Linked DNA regions of Caenorhabditis elegans. The protein of the gene in region 2 interacts with the protein of the main gene of each other region in a pairwise test. Each region holds a gene or a part of one and is shown on either strand. Other genes may lie near its edges.

Region 1 (5,345 bases), on a different chromosome or scaffold from region 2:
TAATGACACTAAAACCAGGTATCAACTCCTATTTTTCCGCCACTTGATAGCGGATCAGAACATCGATAAGCGGATCCGAAGAGGAGCTATTTCAACAAAGTCAGAGCTTCGAGAAGATTTGTTGAAAGCTACTTGTTTTTATACATAATTTATAGTTCTAAAATATTTTCTGAAAATTTCTGAAAATGATTTTTCAGGAAGTTTTCAATAGTTTTTTACCGAAAAAAATCTTTGAAACTCTACTAAGAACTTCTTAATATAAAAACTCGAATTCTTCATCAAAATTCTAGTCAAATTGGCCCCCATATTGAGCCATTTCCTATAAGTTTGAAAAATAGGTCGCGGTGGCTTCGCTGGGTAGAGGTTGGGCTGACGCGCGGAAGACAGGGGTTCAATCCCCGCTGTAGGTGAATATTTTTGTGAGACTTTTTCCATCTAACAAGAAAAGAATCTCGAGTTGGAAACTAGGTTGAACCCTGTATGTGAAATTTTTGGCCCAAAAAACCGGAAATTTTCAATTTTCGCCGCGATGGCTCAGTGGCTAACAGGTTTGGCTGTGAATCTCGACACCAGGGTTCGACCCCAGCCGGTCCCAAATTTTTTTTCCGGTACATTTTTGATCATATGAAATGGGTAAATATTGTCGAAAAAAATTTCCAAAAAAAAATTAACAACAAATCCTCACAGCTAATACTTAAGCAACAAAGCCGCTCACCTATAAATTATCTTAATGAAAATGAAAAAAGAAAATCCGCCCCGGCCGGCACAGAAGAAAAAAATTATTTAACAGATTGAGTTCACGGCTCCGCTAAACACCGATTATCCCCCGGTAGCGGGGGATATGATTTTTGGGGATTTTTCAAGGATTTTCTATACTTTCCATATTTTGATGAAAAAAATTTTACTCCATCAGTGTAACTTTTTTGACAAAATTTGTGAGAGTTACATTTTTGTAAATTTTTTCCAAAATAATGAAAAAAATGTGTGTAATGTCAAAATTACTTTAAAACAGGGGAAACTATGTTAAATTAAGCTGTGCAAAAATGTTCTGGTGCACGTTGGGGTCGAGCCCTTGACCTTCTGCGCCATAGCCTAACATGTACCCAGTTCAGCACACATTTTCACGAAATTTCTAAAAAATTTCAAAATTATCTTAATTAGGCCAATATGGGAGTCACGTTGAAATTTAATGGAGAATTCGAATTTGACGTTTAATTTACTAAAATTTAATTTTTTCAACGAAAATTACTCGACACATGGAAAGTGTTGAAAACTAGTTTCTAGCTCGAAATTTTGTATTTTTGTCACTCAAAAAATTGCAACAAAAACTTATGACCAAGCTGGGACTCGAACCCCTGACCTTCTGCACCATAACCCAGCCTCTACCCGATTGAGCCACTTCGCCCCATTTTCCGAAATTTTTGACAATTTAAAAACTACCGAAATAGGTCAATATGGGGGTCATATTGACGGAAATTTTTTGTAAAATTCGAATTTTTAGGTTTAAAACGTTTAAACCCAAATGCTAAAGACTTAAATGTTCGTTTTCCTCAAAAGTTGTGACCTTTTTTTTTGCAACTTTGTTATACCAAAACCGCAACACATAGTACAGTTCCCCCCGCCCCCAAAATTCGTTCCGCGTTGCTATTAGCATACAATGCCCCCCACGGTCACTCACCTCTGTGTGCACTCTCCCGGTTTCGCGCACTATTTCCCACGCCGCGCGCCACACCGCTTGAAACATATTTCCAGTTGGTCAGCAGCGGCTGACTGACCGGCGGCGCGGTGATAAGGGGGAGAGTCTCCAGGAATAACGGTCTGAAACACCTCTCACTGTACTACTATATTATTCTCTCTTGTTTCTGTATACTCATGTACACTTTGCCAAAGTGCTCTGATCACCCACATCGTCCCCTTATTCTAGAAAATTCCACGTCATCAACTGGGCTAATATTTGCTGAGAGTCAAGCTTCAGCATCCCATCAAACTTGGATTAATATGGTGAGTTTTCTGAGGAAACGTTCATTTTTGTACATTTTTTAGGTTTTACTGAAGAACTAGCACTCAAATCGAAAATATTTCGGTACTTGTGTATTACATGTCCTCATTTTTAAATTAAATTAAACGGTTACTCGTGAATTTTTAGCTGCGAATCTCCAAAACCAAGCTCACGGCGAGCTCTCAAAGATCCTGAAAATAGCACTTTAACGAAGTAGTGAAGGGCCAATTTTCCAAATTTACTTTGGTAGCTCATATCTCAGCGGATAAATTTTTTACCGAAAAGTCATCAACTAATATGTTGTTGATATTTTTGTAAAGAACAAGTTTGTAGTTGAAAGTTTTTGTCAAAAAAATTGTTGTTTCAGATAGAAGCGCATGAAGTGCGGCAACTGCTGCTATTGCGATTTTAATGCTTTTATCTAAAACAAAAAACTTTTGGTAAAAACTTTTAACTACAAACTTGTTCTTTACAAAAAGTTCAACAATTTATCAGTTGATGACTTTTCTTTGAAAAATTTATCCGCAGAGATATGAGCTACCAAAGTGAATAAGGAAAATTGCTTGTTTTGATCGTAAAGTGCTTCGTTACAGTGCTATTTTAGGATATTTGAGAGCTCGCCGTGAGCTTGGTTCTGGAGATTCGCAGCTATCGAATGGCACAGGTTTCATATGCAAGTCCGATGGGCACCTTCTGACGGTTCCCTAGTTAGGAAATTTTATTTCCTAAGCCTAAAAATCCAAAAGTGTGGTTCACGTTTTTATTTTGCACAACTTAAAAAATTACTATAAAAATGAGGGCATGTAATACACAAGTACCAATATTTCAATTAAAATGTATTCAACGTTAAATTCTACACCAATTTACCGCACAATACAAAACAATTTCTGAAAAAAACTTTTTTTCGGGACAATTGTTTAAAAAATTTTTAAAGGCTAATTTTTCAATTTTTCAATTATTTTATTAAAACATTCGAATCTTCCGTCTAAAATCTCTAAAATCCGTTAATTTACCCCCATATTGCCCTATTTCCGATAAGTTAAATTTGGTCTCGGTGGCTCAGTCGGGTATCTGTTGGTCTAGACTATGACGCAGAAGACCGGGGTTCTAGTCCGGTAGGAGGGATTTTCTTTTTATTTTGATTTCTTGTACAAAATAACATGTAAAAGTCTAAATTATGGGAGTTAAAAAAAGATTTACGAAAAAAAAATTCTAAAATGAAATTCCTGTCACTCTAAAACTGTTTCAACCATCAAAACAGTTATAGTAAAAAATAAAAACCACAACTGGGCTCGAACCCTCGACCTTCTGACTCAGCCTAACCTCTGACCAGCTGAGCCACTGGGACCCAATTTTTTGACTTTTCTAAAAATTTCAAAATTTTTGTAAATTGGTCAATATGGGTGTCAACTTAACGGAAATTTCATGGAGAATTCGAATTTGACAATGAATATCTTTTAAAAAAATTCTCTGAATTTAAAGTTTGGAAAAATTGTCTTAAACAGGCTAATTAACTGGAAAGTTTATGAAAAATTATAATTTTCTTATTCCAGACGCTGGGTGACCCTTGCTCCGTCGAGCAACCCCCACCTCCACCCATCGATTTCTCACGGAGCCTAATTGCTCCGACCGCTATCAAACAAGAATCTCACCTAATTCCCTCAACGCCAGGTAATATTCTAATTAATTTTTTTCGAATAAAAAATAAATATAAATATGTTCAGGCACCCCAACAGCTTTCCAACCCCCACAGCATGCGAACACACCAATCCCTGGTATTCAGCCGAATTTGTTCAATCCGGCAATAATGGCGGCTCAACTAAACGTATTCAGCAACCCACAGTTGATGGCAATGATGCAGGTAAACTATTTTCTGCAAAAATGAGAATTCGGCAAAACTGGCAGTGCAAAAATAAAAAAATAAACTTCCCATGCCGGGAATCGAACCCGGGCCGCGTGGGTGAAAACCACGAATCCTAACCACTAGACCACATGGGAGGACGAAACGAGGAGGTCTCGAGTGCCTAGAGAAGAGTGTGCGGGAGGGGCCTGCTGACTGTAGCGGAAAAAGTTATATGGCGGGGGCAAAAAGAATGTCCAATTTTTTTCGAAAAAAAAACGAAATATCTCTCAAATTCTCGACCCTAATGAAAAATTACTATGTGTCTATGTGTGTGGAAGGTCATTCGATAACCTTTTTTTTCCCTCAAAAAAATATCATGAAAGGTTTGATCTCGTTTTCAAAAATATTTTTTAACTTTTGCCCCAAAATTTGTTTTTTTTTTGTTAAATTCTCCCTTAAATTTTTGAATTTCCAGGCTACCAGAAACCCATTGTTAGGACACCCGTCAGTTGTCGGTCCACCAATGATGCCAAATATCATTCAACAGCTAAATGCCCTTCGAAATGTTCAGGTAAAAAAAATGTTGCTCAAAGAACTTTTTTTCAAAAAAATTTTCCAATTTTTCCGATTTTCTAGGATTCCTTTTTATTTTAACACACTTTAACTATCCAAACAAACCTTGAGAAAAACATTTTCCCTTACTTGGGCTCGAACCCCGGTCTTGTGCGCTACAGCCCAACCTCTACCCAGTTGCGCCACTTCGATCCATTTTCAAAAATTTTAAAATAATTAGAATCCGGTCATTATGGGGGTCAAATTAACGGAAATTGCACGCAGAATCCGAATTTCGACATGAAAAACAATGAAAATCAATGCCTCAACCTAAAAAAACACAAAATTTTAACTAGAATTAAAACAATTTTAGGTTAGGACTTGGAGTTTTTCAAATCATTTACTAAATTTTCTGCGTATACCTAATATTCCAATACCCTTTTTTCCAAAAGTTTGGACTACAAGGACAGTGTCGCGAGCGCGCGCGCTCTCTCTAAAAACAGGTTTTGATCACCGGTCGAATTGTAGCTCCGCCCACTTTCCGGGGTCCTCAGGTGACCTCTACGCTGTTTGGCAACTTTCTAGATTAATGACTTTTACATCTCTTTTTCTCTGGGTGTGCTTTGTTGAAAAACTAATTTTTAATTAAAACTAAAGTTTTGTATTTTTTCTAAACTTTTTTCTCTACAAACTTTAGAGTTAGCATAATTTAAATAAAAAATTCGAGTTCTCCATGCAATTTCCGTTAATTTGACCCCAATTTAGACTGGATTGCGATAATTTCAATTTTTCTAATTGGGTCGCAGTGGCGCAACTGGGTAGAGGTTAGGCTATGGCGCAGAAGGCCAAGGGTTCGACCCCCAGGTTTGCCAACTATTTTTTGCAAAGTGCGTTCAACCTGACTGATTGTGAACCAATTATTTTTTGCAACTCTATTTTCGTCAAAAAAGG
Region 2 (5,103 bases):
TTAACTTGAGATGACGACGATGATTATCTGACACTGTCCATTCAGATCTTCATCCGTTTTGCAGAATGTGATTGGGGACGATTGAAATTGGCTTGGGAGGGAAATTTGATTTACTTTTGGGGAAAGAGGGTACTGTAAAGGTCTGAGAGTGTTACTAAGAGTCTATGAGCGACTTAGAGACTGCCGGTGCGGTAGCGGTGCGGTAGCGGGGCGGTAGCGGGGCGAAAGCGGGGCGGTAGCGGTGCGGTAGCGGGGCGGTAGCGGGCCGTTTTTTTTCCGATTTTTCAATTTTCGGGGGGCAAACAGCAGAAATTGCACTTTTTCGAGCAAAAGTTTTCGTTTTTCGGTTTTTCTATAAAAAAAACCGAAGCCCGGCAGGACTGGACGTTCACAGGATATTGCTCTTTTTCCCCCAACCCAAGTAGATCAAAACCCCTAATGTCCCTTTAACCTATTCCATACAAAATTAGGTCCAATCTCATAAAATTCCTTATTCATCACGTCAATTCCACCACTCAATCACCGTCTTCTTTATTTGAGAGCGGTTCCACCTCATTTCAGACGAAGAGGGCAGAGAAGACAATATATATATATATATATATATATAAAGAAATGAACACATAACATAGTACGACTACTGGAAAAATGAAACACAATTGTAGATTCAGGTTGCAGCAGCAGCAGCAGAAGAATAGGCATGGAAATGGCCAATTAGTACGGGATGGACCCCGATAGTGTGAGGGTGGACGGGGGAGACGCAGAGAAAACCAGTCATCGGGGGATACTGGGATTACCTTTTGCCGTGAAAAAAAGAGGATTGTACAGGCAACCGGGGGCAATCCCATTGTTATCCACCTAATCCTATTTGCCACCATTAAAATGCGCTTCGTGTTCCGAAGTGGGGGGGGGGGGGGGGGAATTCGAAACTTTTGAAACTTTTTAGAGTGGCCGATGATGGAGAAAATTCGGCCACCAATTTCAGGATTTTTATATGTTTTAGAACATTCAAAAAAATTGCTGAAACTGCCAAAAAATTTAATTTTATAAAAATTGATTTTTTTTCACACTTATTTATTTTTAAATTACCGAAATTTCAAAAAATTCCATTTTTTCAAACTTCATTACTTTCTAAATTTTTAGGATTTTTTAAACGAATTTTTAAAACAATACTCTGGAATTATTTATTTTTTTGGAATTTTTTTTTAATTTTTTTTTTTTATTTTCAAAAATTTTTCCGGTTTTTCAATTTTCACAGAATTTTTTTTTTAATTTTTAAATACATTAAACTTTTTCACGTGGTGTCCGAGTGTCTCATTTCGGTTTGATCTACATATTTCTACAAAAAAAGCGGGAGAAGAGACGCGAAGAGTTCTCAACTGATTTTGCATGGTTAAGAATGTGCTGACGTCACATTTTTTGGGCGAAAAATTCCCGCATTTTTGTAGATCAAGCCGTAATGGGGGGCAGCCTGGCACCACCACTTGTTTTTGAATTTCCAACACAATTTTAAAATATTTTGAAATAAATCAAAATCGATTCGGAATTTTTTTTTTTTGAATTAAAAAATTTGTTTCAAATAATCGATATCCTATTTTTCAATTCTCAGTACATTTTTAGCATACAAACGATAAAATTTAAGAAAAAAAAGTCAAAAACCAACCATTTCAGTCTTGAAAGTGGCTCCTCGGACCTTCGCTCCGTCATATTCCTGGCTCCGCCCACTTTCCACGTGCCAAATGCAACCGATCTGAAAGTTTAAAATTTTTTGGAACTATTTTTCAACTTTTAAGATGTTTTCTTTGGCTTCAAAATAGTACATTTTACATGTTTTTCTGCAAATTTCCCCATGCCGCAACCCTAAAAAACTAACCCTTTTGCCTTCATAAAACATATTGGATTGCGAAATACTCCAAACATGCCAACGTGGATTCGGAAAACTGTTTTTGTCGGAAAGTATCAGAGTTGGAAATGAGGAAAATACGTTAGAATATTATTATTTTGATTTTTCCAACAAAAAATATTTTTAAAAAAATCAGTTTTAAGAAAACTTGAAACGTTGGATTTCACGTCGAGAAATGAAAGAATTATAGGCATTTTATATAATAACAAAAAAGAAAATTAGTTTCGAGAACTGTCATGCCATTTGGGTGGCTAAATGGAAATTGGGAGAAATCGGGAGAGAACCTGAATTGGCAGTTTGCCTCCAACTGTATGTCTATAAGAAGGTATATGTCTACAAATTGTCTACCTACCTGCCTACAAGGTGACCTACGCCTACCTACAAGGCGGCCTGCGCCTACACATATTCCTGATTATATTCAGTGTTAGTTGAACAGATATTTGAAAAATAATATTTAATTGGAAAGTTGAGAAATGTGCAAAAACTAGGCGGTAGGTAGGAAGGCATAGGTAGGCCTGCGACATACGCCTACCTACAAGGCGGCTTGTACCTACACCTTGCCTACACTCTTGCCTACTTACAAATCATTCCTGATTATATTTAGTGTTAGTTGAACAGGTATTTAAACAAAACATTTAATTGGAAAGTTTACGAATGTTCAGAAACTAGGTGGTAGGCAGGCAGGCATGAACAGGCAGTATATACCTCATAGGCAGGCCTACACTCGTCCCTACTTCCTGGTCCCTTTTTTCTCACTGTTTCAGTGTTGAACATTCAAAAAATTACTTCAACTGAAAGGCAGGCATGAGGTAGGCACGTAGGCATGTAACAAAAAATTTTAAAGTTAGAATATTATTGTCATTAAACAAGTAATAGTTCTATATAATATCTTTTTCAATTTAAAAATTGTGCGATTTTTCGAAATATTGTTGATTTTGCCCGATTTGAGCACCATTACTACTTATACTACTAATATCTCAGCTCATTTTGAAAATATCAATAAACTTTTAATTACAAAAATATAGACAATTGTTAAATAAATCTTTTCTTAGTTGACAATTTTTTGATAAAACCAAAACCAACCGAGATATGAACCGGCAAAGTTAGGCTAATCGAACATATTTTCTACCTGAAAAAAAACTACCCAATTTCAAACCAGCAAATTTCCAAAATGGTTAGGAATATTAAAAAGCTGCCAACTGACGTATTTTTCAGAAATTTTTGGGCAACATTTTTAGTTGACAATTTTTTGTGAAAATTTGGAACAACCGAGATATCAGCCGGTAAAATTGAGCTAATTTTTATAAATTTTTAAAAATATTTAAATTTTGCCCAATTCTCACCTGTACTGCCGACGAGCATTGAGCGTTGCCGTCGAGCCCATCATATAGGCGTCAGGCATTTTGTGTGAGTCCCAGGCGTGTGTTTGTAGACGTCAATAGTTCAAATAATTCTGAAAATCATCATTGCAGAAAATTTTAAAAAAAACGAAGCGTATTGGGAGAAAAGGTGAATAGGGTAAAACGAGAGAGTGAATGAATAGAATGGAACGTAAATATATGAGAATAAGAAGAATGGGGCGAGAGAAAGTGTATGTATGAAGAAGCTGAAAGAGGTCACAATATTATGTAGTAGTAGTAGTACTATACCAGAATTTTTGGGTGGTGGCCGAAAAAACCAAAACTCGGCCACCATTTCAAATAGAGTCGGGGTAGGAAAATTTCAAAAATCCTATTATTCTAATAAGCTTGCTAATTTTTTCTGGCTTTTTTTTAAATAGAAATATAGAAAAATATCGGCTGGAGTTTAAATTTTCTGAGAAAAATTTTTGGCGGGAATTTTAATTTTCTGATAAAACCAATTTTGGCGGAAAATTCAAACGACTGGTTTATCTATATTTTTATATAAATTTTAAACAATAAAAATCGACTTAACAATGAGAAAAAGGCGAAGAAAGTGAGGGAAAAATAAATTTTTCAAAAAAAAAGTAAACTTGCGGGAAGAATCATAACTCGGGTCATTTTTTAGATATACAATTTTTTCAATCACAAATACAAAATACATATGAGTCCAAAATTGCATGCATTTTAGTACTCCTCATCTCAAAATCTAACTATAATAGTGGCGGTGGTCATCTCTTTCAAATATCACCCACCCCACTCGAAAGCCCTGGTAATGTGAGAAGCGCGCGAAATTCGAATCTCGCCAATCTGTGATGAGCTGAGACTATATAGTGATGGTGTGGCCGAGTTTTTCAAAAAGGGAGCAGTTTTGTATGTCAAATTTAGTAAAAAATTCCCGAAAACTAGGAACACGGCGGCGGAAGCAGTAAATGATATCGGAAAACGAACAAATAGTTCGTCTTCATCATCAATATGTGTGTGTGTGTGGTGGTGGCAAAATGACATATGTCAACATGGAAAGTGCTTGTTCTTCTCATAAAACTATCGAGACAAATGGCACATGGCGGTCGTGGTGCGGGTCGGCGATAAAAGATGTACCCTCAGGAAATTTGAGCGGAATTTATGCGACAAAGCTTGATAGAACAAGACGCATATGAAAATGAAAAAGTTAATAAAGCAGCCGACACCTCACGGGCGGTAGCGGGAGGTAGCGGGCGGTAGCGGGCGGTAGCGGGCGGTAGCGGGCGGTAGCGGGCGGTAGCGGGCGGTAGCGGGCGGTAGCGGGCGGTAGCGGGCGGTAGCGGGCGGTAGCGGGCGGTAGCGGGCGGTAGCGGGCGGTAGCGGGCGGTAGCGGGCGGTAGCGGGCGGTAGCGGGCGGTAGCGGGCGGTAGCGGTGCTGTAGCAGGGCGGTAGCGGTGCTGTAGCAGGCCGGTAGCGGGCATCAGCAGGCGGTGGCGGGCGGTAGCGGAGTTTTTGTAAAAGCCAGTAAAGTGTCCGCTGCAAATCGTGTTTTCCACGCTGCGGCCGACATCTCACGGGTACAGGGATATCCATAATTTGAACCACCTATTTCTCAGTAACCATGGGAGCTATCAAAAAATTGCCAACTAGCAAAATATTGCCTAAAAAATTGGAAAATTGGTTTCAATTTGCCAGTTAACAAGTTTTTCATAATTTTCAAAACTAAAGAGATATAAATGTTTCAATTGTTTCACCTAAAATCTCAAATTTTTGCCGTAAAACCGTCATAACTCTACTGGTTTTGACGATATAAAAAATTTATCAACTAACAATTTGTAG

What was found. The genes of interacting proteins can lie anywhere in the genome.
Region 1: the proteins of ZK131.11 (region 2) and nhr-41 interact in a two-hybrid assay, tested with the Caenorhabditis elegans proteins (one large-scale study listed by BioGRID).

What each region holds. Positions count from the first base shown.
Region 1 is NC_003282.8:1,384,291-1,389,635, forward strand, and holds the start of nhr-41 (Nuclear Hormone Receptor family), read left to right. Parts: upstream 1-1,924; 5' UTR 1,925-1,998; coding exon 1,999-2,001; intron 2,002-3,552; coding exon 3,553-3,670; intron 3,671-3,723; coding exon 3,724-3,860; intron 3,861-3,925; exon of another isoform or gene 3,926-3,997; intron 3,998-4,317; coding exon 4,318-4,413; intron 4,414-5,345.
Region 2 is NC_003280.10:13,790,479-13,795,581, reverse strand, and holds the start of ZK131.11 (TORC_N domain-containing protein), read right to left. Parts: upstream 3,354-5,103; 5' UTR 3,303-3,353; coding exon 3,244-3,302; intron 1,748-3,243; coding exon 1,661-1,747; intron 1-1,660.